Linked DNA regions of Drosophila melanogaster. The protein of the gene in region 1 interacts with the protein of each later gene in a pairwise test. Each region holds a gene or a part of one and is shown on either strand. Other genes may lie near its edges.

What was found. Proteins that work in one complex are often made in the same cells at the same time.
Region 2: the proteins of Doa (region 1) and eEF1gamma interact in a two-hybrid assay, tested with the Drosophila melanogaster proteins (one study listed by BioGRID).

The regions. Positions count from the first base shown.
Region 1 is NT_033777.3:28,899,561-28,908,032, reverse strand, and holds the start of Doa (darkener of apricot), read right to left. Parts: upstream 4,556-8,472; 5' UTR 4,458-4,555; intron 2,395-4,457; exon of another isoform or gene 2,271-2,394; 5' UTR 2,226-2,270; coding exon 696-2,225; intron 344-695; exon of another isoform or gene 324-343; coding exon 1-323. UniProt on the Drosophila melanogaster protein: Dual specificity kinase involved in the negative regulation of microtubule-based transport through phsophorylation of the microtuble-binding protein eEF1gamma.
Region 2 is NT_033777.3:29,218,415-29,224,445, reverse strand, and holds eEF1gamma (eukaryotic translation elongation factor 1 gamma), read right to left. Parts: upstream 4,275-6,031; 5' UTR 4,246-4,274; exon of another isoform or gene 4,242-4,245; intron 4,183-4,241; exon of another isoform or gene 4,177-4,182; 5' UTR 4,150-4,176; coding exon 4,138-4,149; intron 4,017-4,137; coding exon 3,867-4,016; intron 3,804-3,866; coding exon 2,670-3,803; 3' UTR 2,337-2,669; downstream 1-2,336. Other genes in the region: Brd8 (bromodomain containing 8), read right to left, coding at 1-876; Cisd2 (CDGSH iron sulfur domain 2), read left to right, coding at 1,107-1,203, 1,677-1,900, 1,965-2,045. UniProt on the Drosophila melanogaster protein: Microtubule binding protein involved in regulation of microtubule-based transport. Probably plays a role in anchoring the EF-1 complex to other cellular components.

The sequences.
Region 1 (8,472 bases):
GCCAAAGGGTGATGTTTCCGCGGTAGTGGAGGAGTGGACTTTGGACTCGACGGCAGCAGAGGTGGACGACTCTTCCGGATTGCTAGTGGCGACGATATGGGAGAACGCACCGCACACTTGCTCTCCGGGATGCTGGATGATAGCACAGAGGCGAACTGCGGGGAGACCACCTGAAAGAACTGCTGGCCACTGGCCGGCGGCGGCGTAGGTTTCTGCATAGCTGGCTGGGATTCCTCTTTTGTTCTTAGGCTTGGCGATGGGGCTGCGGAGGAGGATACCGCTGAGGGCACTGTATTTGCTGGCTTGCCGGCATCTTCACTCATCTATAGGAAACAATCGCGCACTGCGAACCGTTTTGGGTTCTATGAATAAAAGATCCGATTTCAACTGAATCCGTTGATTCAGCTTGTTTTGCAATCAGTTTTCAATCAAAACCCGTTCATTCAGCCTTTATCGCGGTTTTGTGTGTTATGTGTGTGTGCGTTTATTTATGGTATTGTTATATCTTACACAATCAAACCATTGCACTTCCTTATTTTACAACCCATAACTATTCCCAAGTGTATTAACGTGTTCCTACCATCGAGGTAAATTCTATAAAACAGATTTCGAACAAAGCACAAGAGGAAGGAGACACCAAACACCAGACGAACTACAGACACCACAAGGCGATCACCAACACGACGACGACCAACCTGCAGATACTGCTCCGGTATCTTACTGTTCTTAGGCACAATGATCTTCTTGATGATGATAATCTTGTCGCCCTCGATCTTGGTGATAGTGATGGGAACGCCGGGCATAGGACGCTGTGGCTTGACGGGCACAGGTTGCTTGGGAGCGTTTCGAATTACTTGGGGTCCAGTAAGGATGCCACCGGGACTTGGTTTAGCAGCTGGAGGAGCAGGCTTGGGTTTTGGTTTCTGAGCAGGCACGTGTTCCTTGTGGTCGCTGCGCACAATGGAGAAGTGGTACAGTGGTTTATCGTCGTCTAGAATGCTCTTTTGCGGTACAGTTTTTTTCTCCACTCTACGCAGGACGACTCCCAGCATGGGCGATTCCTTGGGCTTGATGGTTATCGATCCACTGGGCGCTGTCACCCGCTTGAGGCTCACTCCAAGGTTAGTGCCCACTGGTGGCGGTGTCTTCGTTCGATGCACCATTTTTCCACTGGGTATCTCACGGTAACCATCGTCCATTCGCCGCCGACGACGATCCTCTTCAATCTGTTCTTGAACCCTTGGATCGGGATTAGTGTGCAGAGATGGTTCGGGTGCCACCAATGGCGATGGCCCAGGAAAGAGTGATGTCAGACTGCTCCGCCGCCGGTCCATGTTAGGCGCTGACACCGTCTTAGTGAGTGGAAATTTGGTAGGCTGTGGAGGTGCTGCCATAAGTGGTGGTTCCACACCGGTGGCACTCGTGGTGCTACCACGTCGACTGCCTGCCTTGCTAGGTTGTCTGGATGCCGATGCACTGGCCGAGTCCAAGCTGCTCATGCTGGCAGAACTCTGGAGGCGATCTGGAGCAGCGCTCCTTTCGCGATTACGATCTGGCGAAATGGAACGCTCTCGACTACGATTGTGGGAACGGGCATCCCGAGCAGCTCGCTGCATTCTCAGCAGCTCAATCGAGTCAGCTATGTGAGAGGTACTCTTCTTAGGCGGTGAGTCATCTTTGGAAGAGGCCTTCGGCTGCGAAACGTTAAGAAGGTGCATCTCCATGGCATCATCTATGTTGCAGGGTAGCGAAGCAATGCGTTCTCTTGGACCTGAATTGGTTGGAAGGGAACCCTTGGTTAGTTCCTCTTCCTCATCGTTGTCGTCGTCTTCATCATCCTCCTGCTCCTCCTCTGCCTGTTGCCTGATGCGCCGTTCCTCCTCTTCCTGTTGCCTGCGTTTCTCGCTCTCCATCACCCGCTGCAGCTGAGCCTGCACCTCGAGGGCAGCACGTGCTCTGGCCTTGGACTCGGCCTCGCGGGCCTGACGAAACTGTTCCTGGGCAATTGCTAGAGCTTCCGCCTCCGCCTGTGCTCGAGATCTGGCCTCCGCTTCTGCGGCTGCTGCTGCCCTAAGTGTGGCCAAATCCGTGGCCGTCATCTGCTTTATGCTCAGGCGGCGCTCAGTATTGAGGATCAACTCCACCTGGGTGCTACCGCCCTGCGGCTTTTGCGCCGCGAGGTCTGGACAGCCAAGGGCGATCAGTTCGCTAAGTTCGTTGGACATTCCAAGGGGTGTGGTGAACTTTTCGGTTGATTGTCAGCTTTCTTTCTGGATCCCAAGGGGAAAAATTACTCGATTATCTAATATTGCACTGGCGGCTCCCTCGAATTGCGTTGGGTTCGACTAGCTGGGCAAGACTCGCGAGGCTGCCAATGTTGGCCCCAAAGGAAACCTGCGCAACATCGGATTATTTCGTATTGGTTCTATTCGGATCAGATCGGATCGGAACAATCGATCGCACGCTCAATGTCAATGTCTCATTGGCATTTTGGCAAATGCCCGACGACTTGACTTACTAATTGTATCAATGGTCGCCGTTCGACCAAAGACTGCTTCTTTTTGGCGCCCATATACATCCGACATATATATGGGTACAAGCATGTATAGCACCCCCAATTTGTTTTGGTATATAGAGCAGAGACATATACAAATTACAAATCGTAAACAGCAATGAGCTCATTGATCGCGGCGCCGCCTCATCAAAAAGCAAACCCCCTACCCCTTTGCGATTCTAGCCAAAAGATCTGCACCTTGCCCTAAATCTATTGCGATGTGTGGAATATGTGTGAATATCCCTGGAGAGATCGTTTTAGCCTATGTGTGATATCTCGGTGGGGTTCATTGGGCATCTTTCCCTGCCATTCTGTGTTCGGTTCGAAATCTGTTTTTATTTTTAACAAATGGACGACGTTATACCTAGTACACAGTACGTGTGACGCTAGTGCCAGTACAGTGAAACCTCGATCAGCCATGCAAATTGAACTGACAGCTCTCATTTGGAAGATGCATCTCTGATCTCTGATAATCACATTCGACTGATTGGATTTTTTAATTCACTTTGAGTTTCCATTAATTTTCTGATCTTTGCTGAGCTCTGGCTTAGCTTTCACTGTACCGAAAGCACACACATTCGAGTTGGAAAATCTGAAGGGGAAAAGTTTTCCACCCCAGTTGACTTTTATTTTGGTTGGCATCATCATATGGCCAAAATTTAATCATGTACAAGTTTGTGTCTTGGATTTTTGCTATAAGTTTGTTGTGGCAACTAAATATAAATGCAAGCCTTACGAAAATAGCTTTCGAAAATTATAGAAAACGCCAGCTAAGCGGAAAGTGGAGGATGGAGGGCAGCGGAAGGAGACGCCGGAGCGGCGGAGATCAACATGATGATGATGTGGCAGCCTGATGAATAATCCCGCCGATCTGTAGCGCACATATAGATAGTTTGTATCTATGTGGCACACACACTAACGGACACACACGTGTGTGCTCCATTTGTTAGTTTTGAGTTTTTGTTTTGATTTGCTTGGCCGCTGCGTTGTCTTCTTCGCCTTCATCTCCGAGTACACAGAAAACATATTCACCATATTATCTAAGCACAATAGTAACTAAACTGTTTTTACTTGTTGACCCTTAAACTTTTGGAACATAGTTAACAAAGAAATATGGTTTGAAGATATATATCATTCCATAGTCCAAAATGTTTTTAAACTATCTTCATTTCTATCTGTGTATTCGATTGAGTGAATGTTGCACTAGTCTCCTCCATCCCCATACGCTATTTCTATTAAAAGTATCTTTCGCCTCGCTAATTGCAAACTTGGTGGAGAAGTGCAAAGTTCACTATCAGCGTTTTGGACGTTTCACAGCTGCTCATCAGGCTGGATGGTATCCCACTTGATATTATTCCGAATTATACACTCGCCACCATTGGCGGGGGGTCAATAAAACAGTTTGGCTATGGTATCTTGCATCGCGTTTTGTTTAAACAAATACAGTCCGATGAATATCGCGCACTTTTTTTTAACACTCAGTGTTTTGTTTGATGTTTTTTTCGCTTTCGACAATTTTGTTCTTGCCGCACTGCTACTGTTTTATTTTTAAAACACTTAAATGTTCTAAGTTTTGGGTTGTTTTTTGTTCTTGCGCTTGATTATGTCACGGTGCCCAGCAATTGTTCTACCTATCCTATCGTTCCGAAATGCGTTTCTATATTGCACATACGCTCCGTATGTACCTCTAATTATTGTTCTATTCGATTATTTGGTGTTTCTCAGCCAAATACAAAAAGAAAAGGAATATTCAAAGCACAAGAAACGCACACACACCACACACGCACACACACACATCGATAAACAAATTGCGCGAAAGGAGACGATCAATATAGAGATCGGGGGGATCTGACCGGATAGAGAGAGACAGCGAGTGTGCGGGGGATCCCCGTGGTACCCGTACCGTTACACGACGAAGACGAAGCGACGACAATATGTAGTTTATATGGTTTATATGGCAGCAGTGGCGGCGACACACAGCCAACAAACGTAGATTTCAATCTGTTTCGGTTTCCTCGAATTTGAAAATTCTCAGCCGAAAACTGGCCGCAGATGAGAAGAGCGCAGACTTTCGGCGGCGCGTGTATTTATAATTTTCCAATGGCCACGGAGCAAATGGCAAGTAGATGCTTTTCCGCCGGATGAAGCTGCGCGCGCATCTCCGAGAAAGAAGTATCAGCTGTGCGCCATGGGCCATAGGTAGTTTAGACGAACATGCGCACAGTGCGGAGAGGAATCCCCAAGGCGTCGCTCTCGGGAGCCCATAAACATGTGTGTATTTGGGGGCATGATATAGACAGGGAGAGTGAGTGGGCACCGTGTAAAATCGGTGTATATAGCGGCGGTCAAAGCAGTAGCATTGCCAATAAATCATGCCAAAATTTCCAGAAGACTTAACATTTGTGTTTGCAGAAATTCGAATAATATATGGACGACCATTTGACTTGAATCGACATGTGTACATATATCACATATACAGATTATAACTAACAATTTTAGTTTAAAACAACGAAGGGAATTTGTTAGGATTACAATTACTACTGTACATATTTTTTTCCACAATATTTTTGAAAAAAGGTTGTGTTCCTATAAAATTGTAGGACCGACAATGCATCACGAGAAAACGAAAGATATTCGCCGACAATCTGTGACTCGGAATGGGGACGACTCACTAGATAGTCGTCATTGTGGTCCACAAAGTACTCCTCGATGATCCAATTGTCGCCGGCGTACTTGTCCACAGGCATATCGCTGAGGGCCACAAGATCAAAGTGATTACGTTGCCGTTTTAGCAGCAGGCAGCGGGTAATGGCCACGCTCTCTCCGTCACCGGGTGAAGCATCCTCCTCCAGATATGTTTCCAGGCCACAGCCATTCGCCCCATTCCGGATGATGAGCTGCTGCTCCAACTGCTTAAAATACTGAATCTTGGCGGCCTGGGGACTAAACGATGACGCGGAGGGAATTCTATGCGAGTTACTCAGCCCACTTAATTGGCGGCGACATGGGCAACTGGCAATGCTGGCGAGGAGCAGTTCGCATCATCCGCAGCAGCAATAGCAATATCTCATCACATCTCAGAGCAGCAAAGAAAACTCTGGCCGCCGTCAACGAGTTAATGTCAAATGATCAATTGAACGAAAATAACTAGAACAGCGGGGAGTGTTGGGCACAGGGGTAGCTATAAAGAACCACCAACAGTGAATGAGAACTATAAAGTTCTCGTTTAATTGAGAGCTGTTTTTCATACAGCTAGATGCCACGAAGAACGCATAGAAATTGCTTAATTTGCACATGAATATTGCCAAGGTTTCGCTTAACTGCTCTATTTAAGTACCATTTTATTACTGATGAATACAGCTCAAACCGAGTTTCCGCTCTAAGCTTTTAAAAAATGATTATCTCTTAAAATTTTGATTATATTTAAAGTGGCTACTGTTTTTTTTCAAACCTACACTTGAATAACAAAACCAATAGTTATTTGTAATTATGTAACATCTAAGTTTCTGAATTTCGACACAGTTTAAAGGCCTTGCCCAACCAAGTTACTTTGTTTCAAGTACTATCTTATCAACTCATGCTGCTCACTCAAGTGCTCCGCCTCTTGAAGCCCTGAAGCATTTATTTCCATATTCAGTTACACTGATTACAGTGACTTTCCCATGTAATCACTGTACCAGAAGACCAAGAACCAGAGCAATGTGACACATCTAATGACAAATTTAGCTCAACTCAACGCCGCATAGATAAGAAAGTAGAGAGGGATCGAGTGCAGCGGCGAACGATCATGATAGCGCGCTGATCACTTCACCGATCCACTCGAGAATAGGGTGTACTGCAAGACGCACACAAAAGTAAGGAACGATAGGTTAGTCAAAAGGAGGAGAAGGGGAAGGGGAGGTGGGTGGGTTCGATTGATAGCACAACATACATGCTTACTAGATAATCGCTGTCGTGATCGACAAAGTACTCAACGACTATCCAATCATCCGTGTACGGCATAAAACGCAGTGAACAGCTGGACAGGATCAGATCGCGACAGTGATCCACGACCGGTGGCGCCGGCAGATCACGCATCTTGATGTAGCACGGGATCTGGGAGCTCTCGAAGTGATCGGCCACCTGCTGGGACTTCTCAAGATACCGCTTGAAGAACAGCATGATGGGGGAGGAGTCGATGGAAGCGATCTTCTAGCACTGATCAGACGGACGGCACAGATTTTGGCAATGGCAGCACAAGGATTGGAAAACGCAGGTGGTGGTTAAATGAGATCGGTCCGGTGTGTTCGTATTATCTATCTGTCCGCCTAGTTTGTTCTTTTACCATTTTGTTTTGCTTTTAGCTTTCGTTTTCAGTTTGTGAATTTTCTTTGGGGTTTCCTTTTTTTTTCGTTGCCCTGCCTACAATTTTCACTTGTTTGCTACTTGTGGTGTGTATAAAATAAAAAGTTTTTACCTTAGCCTGCGACTGGCGGTTGTTGCGTCCGCTGTCGCGTTCGTCCTTGGCGCGATCACGGTGCCGCCGGCGGGAGCTCGAATGGGACGTCTCGTCCCTGTAGCGGTATTTGTGCTGCCGTCGACTGGCGGCGGGCGACTTGCGGTGCGAACGCTTCGAACGCTCCTTGCGTCGGCGGGTTGAGATGCTGTCATCGAAACTGCAAAAAGAAAGGTGTCCGGTTAGTTCGATCTCTTGAGGTATTACCTAACCAACCACCCGGCGACAGCAGATGAATGGCCGTCCTTGGAGCAACGCCCAGCGGCGTGGACAACATGGAAAGCTACTTAGCTACCCAGCCAGCCAGCCACTCAGATTCTCAGCTACTTAGCGAGTAAGCCGCTCCACGCTCGCCTTGCCGCCGGATTCTTAAGCCAGGCAGCCGGCACCTAGTGCGAGACGTGTGTTGGCGAATCGGTTTTGCGTTACCAATCAAGTTAATCAACTCGGCCGGATGGCTACCTCAGCTGGTACTGTTACTGTTGGCTATCTGGTTGGCAGCGGCCCACCTCTACCGTCGGCCAAATGCCTTTGAGAGTACTTCATGGTTCGAGGAATGACACAATGTGAGGCAATCGCCAGTTTCTGAGTGAACCCAGCGACATAGCACCCTAGACTCGGCGATCGAGCCCAGAAACTGTGTCAATAACATCGGTAGCTTGGCGGGCAGAGCTCATGTTCATGCTCATGTTACATCAACTCACCACACCCACCCCAAGAAAACAAGAAGCCAAGGGGCCCAGACAGATGACGAGCTGCACAAGTGCGGGTGGGCAGCGATCTTGGCATGAATCAGCTGATTGCCGAGAGATAACTGACCTATCAAGCAAGCTACTACCAAATCCAAGATCCAAGAAGTCAACCAGCCGCCACATATGCTAATAAGGCAAAACCAGCTCTCATTGAGCGATTACGAAAATTTTTGTCGGTTGCGCGCTCACTGCTTCTCGCCCACGTGGCCCCCAAAAAGCGTCTAAATTTGGGCACAAATTATGAAAAACACAGAACCGAAATGAAGCTGAAAGTAACATTGGCTGCTACAAGTACGATTCGTTCGTTCGTTAGTTCCGACCTGCATCCATACGTATATAGCATATAGTGTGGTAGTATCGCATATGACAAAAGCTCAACGCCTGCGCACCCGCCAAGAAAACTACTTGAGCGCACACGCTCTGTACATCTGGGATGGATAGCTCTGTAGGCTGGAAAGACTCTTGGCCAATACACGAACTGAATTGAACCTATCTGAGATCTGTGATCTCTGACTGGCGTCTGTCGCGGAAAAGCCGCTTACGGCCTCGCGGCAGTTAATAAAAGGAATACAGCTCCATGGTAGCCCAGCTCTTTCGGCATTTTGATTTATGATTAATGACGCGCTGCGTGCAAATTAGACCAGCTTTTATGGCCAACTGTAATTGGATAT
Region 2 (6,031 bases), 320 kb from region 1:
GGGGCTCTTCATGGTGATGACTGGCTGATTGGCAACAGCTGAGCTTGGACCGCTGGTCAGCAGCGAGGTGATGGTTGGCGCCGTAGCCCTGGCCACGCTGCCAGTTCCTCCGGCTGCTGGTGCAGCTCCTCCTGGGGTGGGCGTTGCAGGTGCATTGCCTGTGGGCGATTTCAGGAGAGATGTGAGTAGAGGCGAAGGACCCGTCTGCTGTTTGCCATTGCCACTGGTGTTTATGTCCTCCACGTCCATATCGACGGAAGTCGTGTCGGCAGCTTGGTTGGAACGCTTGACGGCTAGACTGCTGTTTCGCCAGTTGCTGGCCAGGTCCTTCTTGCGCTGCTCGCGCTCCCGCATGCGATTCTCCAGCTTCATCTCCTCGATGCGGCGCGCCTCCTGCTCCTTCTCGATCTCCAGCCACATGTCCTGCAGCTCCTGCTCGGTCACCGCGTCCGATTGCAGCGACTCAATCTCCCGCTGGATGCGTCGGTAAGTCTCCTGATCCTGACGCATCTGCGCCTTGATCTCCGCCTGACGCTCCTCCGTGAGCCGACGGAGCAGCAATTCTGTGGGCGTCTCCACGGTGGCCGGCGAGGAGACGCCGGCACTGCTTTCGCTGCTGCGCTTCTTGCGCTTGGTGGCCTCCACGCTCTCCAGCAGATTGCCGTACTGCATGGCACAGTTCTTCTGCGAGAACCAGTCCGCCGGTCGGTTACTGCTGCCATTGCCGCAGATCGTCTTCAGCGTGCGGCTCACCGTGATCCAGTTCTGGTCGCCGCTGCAGGAGACCGCCGACGCCAGGATGAGCTGCTCCCGCTTCGACCACGTGTCCAGCGGCATGCGGCTCAGTTGCAGGCGCTCTTGTACCCCGGCAGACATTCTAAACTGCAATTTATTGATTTCAATCAATAATTCGTAAACAAAACAGAATGCTATCGATGACTACACACGAATCTGTAATACTGCCTATCGTCGAAAATGCAGTGTGACCCTAGCACTGCGATACCGATAGGACTGGCTTATCGATTTGCTAGCACCGCTAACCGATAGCAACACAAAAACAAGTTTTCCGAATTTAATAGCCAGTTAAATAAAAAAGGCGTTTCGAAATGGAGCCCATATCACATCTGGTGAAGTCCTCGCTGCCCAATTACTTGTCAAGTCTGCCGGTTCCCGACAGCATCGGCGGCTGGTTTAAGCTCTCCTGTAAGTTTGGGCAATGAGCGTGGTTTTGCCCATTGGAATTTGATTTGCCTTCAAAGGGCGCCCCACATAAACCCAAATCCACGATAATGACGCAGCATCTAGGGGGGCCAACTAAATGGACTACTAAGGTGCAAATGTGGCGTGATATTGCGGAGCTGCTAACGGGAATTGGAAGTGCAGTGTGTGCACTTCCAGGCAAAAAAGTTGCAGCGATTATGCAACAACTGCTGAGCTCGCCAAGAAATTTATAATTGGAGCAAGTTTGTCTCGCAGATAGGCAACTAGATAGACGCATAATACAGGCATACCAACATGGGTATACCTATAAACATATATGCGCATATCTTGGTGCGTTTATAACCCAATATGTGTGTAGGGAACGACCTTGTGCCGGTTACGGCTGATCGACCAAAATATCTAGTTATAAAGCTTAAAATGCACTGCATTCCGTATTAACCTGGTTTCGTTTGCAGTCAAGGATTGGTTGGCCCTGATCCCACCCACCGTGGTGGTGGCCGGACTCGGCTACACCGCCTACCTGGCCTACTGTCCGGCGGCACGGGCCAGCTGCGCGGCCAAAAACAGCGGACGCTGCAACAACCACATCCGCAAGAACGAGCCCAAGGTGGTGGACATGATCGACGTGGAGGATATTGCGGAGAAGGCGGCCTTCTGTCGCTGCTGGAAGACCAAGAACGTGAGTGCATTCTAACCTCTGAAATATTGTGAACAAAATTTTCAATTGAATCCTCTATTCGCAGTGGCCCTACTGCGATGGCAGTCATGGCGAGCACAACAAGCAGACTGGAGACAACGTCGGACCAATTGTCATCAAGAAGTAGATTGCGGCGGTGCATCGATACACAAACGTTCTAGCATTTCCTCTCGCTGAGCTCCAGTTTGCTTTTAAAACCAATAGTAGTGGCCGAAGCTGTTTGAACCCTTGTAATTGTAAGCAATAATTGATGATATTGATGGATTAAGTTAAAAGGAGCCAATAAAATTGCCCAAACATAAATTCAAATCGATATGCTTAATTCTAATTACTAATAAATGCCAGACCTAACCTTTACCAACAACCAAATAAACCACACACACACATACACACACGTGTGAGAGAAAACCGTGCTGTTATTAATAGAAAACCTTTTATTTTTTATAAATATTTTCTGACTGCAGGCGGCTGTTCCGTTGACAATATCATGCTGTGTTATGCTTAGGCGGTTACAAACAAATTCTCCAGTACAAAATGCAGGAGGCGAGACACACGATTCCGCCAAACGTGGGAGGCAGCACGACAGATATTGGATATCTTTAGTGTACTTATCAGTTGGAACTTAAGAAATGGGCATTGTGCTCTTCCTGCATTTTAAATCTCAAACTTTATTGTTACTGCTGCTGTTGTTGTTGTTGGTCTAAATGAGGGCGGCTGCTGCTTTGAGCGGAGCTGGGCTAGGCAGAGATGATTACTTGAAGATCTTGCCCTGGTTGAACTTGCGACCGTCCTTGTCGGTGCCGGACCAGGAGAAGTACTGGGTGACCAGCTTCTTGGTCTCCTCGCTCTTGGCGTCGAGCTTCTTCCAGTCGTAGACCTCGTAGTCGATCTGCCAGTCGGGGGAGAGCGTGAAGGCCAGATCCTGTCCGCGCCACACCCAGATACCGGAGATGGTGCTGTTGCCGTCCTCGCCGAACAGGCAAACGGAGGCGAAGGCCGCCTTGCGCATCTTGTCCAGACGCTGGAACATGCCGGTGATGAGATTGCACGACATGAACACCTTGGACAGCTCCTCGTTGTATTTGTACTCGCCAAACCAGATCGAGTAGTTCTCGGCATCGAACTTATCGAAGAAGTAGGGAATGGACTTGGCCTCGTCCTCGTTGGAGTACACGCGCTTGAAGTCATCGAAGTTGAAGGTGCCCTTGGGCAGCGCATCGAAGGGGTCCTTGGACTTGGGCTCGGCGGCCAGGGCCTCATCGGCGGCGTCCAACTCCTCGGCGGGCTCGGCAGCCTTCTTGGGCGCCTCCTTCTTTTCCTTGGGCTTCTTCTCCTGCTTCTGCTGCTGAGCCTGCTGCTGGGGCTTGGCGGCTCCGGTCTTGGCCTGGAACTCGGCGTACTTCTTGGGGTCGAAGACCAGGGCCTTCTCGCACAGCTTGTAGTCCTTGACGACGGCCTGGACCTGCTTCTGGTTGAGGATGGTGACGAACCAGCGGTTCACGTTGCCGAAGGCACTGCGCACACTGGGCTCCAGGACGTACTCGTACAGGTGGAGCAGACTGCTGAAGACCACAATGTCGGCCAATGTGATCCTCTCGCCGGCCAGGAAGGTGGCGTCCTGCAGCTTCTGGTTGAGCTGCTGCAGCACAGCCTCGGCCTCTTGCTTGGCAGTGCTGTTCTTCTGCTGCGGCAGAATGCCCAGCAGGGGGAAGACCCAGGCACAGGAGGCAGGCACAATCTCGTTGTCGGCGAAGGAGATCCACTGCTGGACCTGGGCCTGCACGAAGGGGCACTTTCCGCCGCGCAGCTGCTCGTTGGCCAGCAGGTAGGCGATGGCATTGGACTCGCTCAAGTACTGTCCTTCGGCGGTCTCAAAGGCGGGCACCTACGGGCACATATCGTGTTGATGACCTGGCACTAGCCACACCCACAAAAAAAGCGGACTCACCTTGCCACCGGGGAACTTCTTGAGGAACTCAGCCGACTTGTTGGTCTCGCCGAACTTGAAGTTGTCGGCCACTTTCACCTGGGCTCCGGAGTACTGGGCTGCGATGAGCGCCTTGTAGGCCCGGAAGTTCTCGGGGTAAGTGTACAGAGTCTGCAAATATGGGTGGATTAGTTGTGATATCGTGGCAGCTAACCGGCATCTGGAAATTCGCAAATTCACATGGCTCGAAGCCACGGATTGGAAAATCCTCACTGCCCTTGTGCGTACGTACTCCTTTCACCATGGTGGATTCGCCGTTTAAATCGTCTGCCTGCAAATACAGTATTAAATACGATATAGTGGCAAATTCAGCGAAAAAACGCGGAGCACACGCACTCACCGGAAACGAAGAAGAGAAGGGACGGAAACAGGGCTGCAGGAGTCATCATGGTTACGGCGATATATCGATATTTCCTAGGCCATTTTGGTCATCGATGATTTCTATTCGACCTCGATGTTAAATTATACCTAAAAACATAAATCATTATCGTTTTTGGTATATTTATTTATCACATTTCAATTTGTAAATAAAGTCCAATAAGTGGGGTTTCAATAACAGCGTGCTGTTAAGCGCAAGGCGTTCCACCACTAACTGATCGTTAGTAAGAAAGATCCAATTTCAAATAAGGTGCGTTTATTCTAAAACGACCCGTATTTTTTTGAATTTAAAGTGTTCCCCTATGAAGATATCTGTGATCTCGTTTTATATTTATATTTAGCATACTGTTTAGTATTGCCTGATATTTCATAATTTAAATTTAAATACAGTGTTGTAAAGGGAAAACATAATCTCTGCGAATAGCAGCCTAATCGATGTTAACAGCAGCGAACTATGTTAAGATGGAAGATGAATTTAAGGAAGATTTTTAATTTAATATAAAAACGTTTTATTTATATTACAACGTCAAAGAAAGCAGTATTTGTGAAGTTTATATATTGTTGACATCCTTAAGTTCTTCTGTTGTTTAGGTCAATGATCTGAATATTGAACATTTTTTATCTCACATTAAATATTTGCCGTGTTCATAAACCAAGAAGCCAAAGACGACGCATTACTTAATGAAAACCATTACAGGTACTTTATTTAGATGCTACAAACATGATCACTACGTTCCCCCCACCCCTGCAGAATGCATCAGCATCGAATCGATCGAGGGCCTTCCTTCTCGACAGCATCCTCTTTTTTTTCCGAACGGAAATGCCGCGCATTGGGACGGACTGAGTGACTGAGTCGGTGTCCCGGGGATCGGGGCAAACATTTTTCCAGCTGCCGCCGTCGTAGAGTTCAAGTTCTGCATTGCTCTAATCGCTGCATTGTCATCTTCTCCAGCTCCAGCTCCAGCTTCTACTCTGGCTGCAACTCCAACTCCAGCTGCAGCCCCTTTTCCCAATCACCGCTTGGCGAAGTGCAGGCTTTCGCTGCTTGTGCTTGTTCTGAGCCGATGTTGCTGTTGATGCAGTTGTTGCTGCATCTGGTGGTGTTGGAGCCGTGGGTTGGTATGAGTTGGTATTGCCGCGCTTGTGGGAACGAGCACACATAGCAGGAAAACTATTTTCAAATTGGAAAGGTTTTGCACTTCTCCAACGCGCCGCGTTCGACGACGACAACCTCTTTCTCGTTAGTTTGTTCTTTTAACTATTATATCAATTAGTTGCGGCGTTTGACGGCTTCTTGTTGCTGCTGCTGCTGCTGTTCCTGATTGTTATTGCTGCTGCTGCTGCGGCTGCTTCGACCAGGAGGAAGTGGAAATCCAGTGCAGGGAAAGCCAGCTGCCGCGGCCGTTGCAACTGAATGCGCTTCTCGGCTTTGCCACCGCCGGTCGGGGTTGCAAACTCGCGGGGCCCATATTCATTTAGAAAATATGTAAATAAGCCAGCCGAGCCGCCGAAGTGAAGTGCCCTGCTCTCTCCTCCCTGCGGTGCGTTGGCATTTAAATGAGCGTGAAGCAAATCGTGTGGGAGGAGTAGCTTCATGGCCGTGCAGCAAGTGGCCATACAGTAGCCATCTATCCCTAGCCACGGAGCACTAACAATGGCCCACGGGGTTGAAAGGTGTTCCGGCTTCATTCCTTTGGCCTGAAATTAAAATTGGAGAGCAGCGAAATGCTGTGTTAATAGCGGCAGCA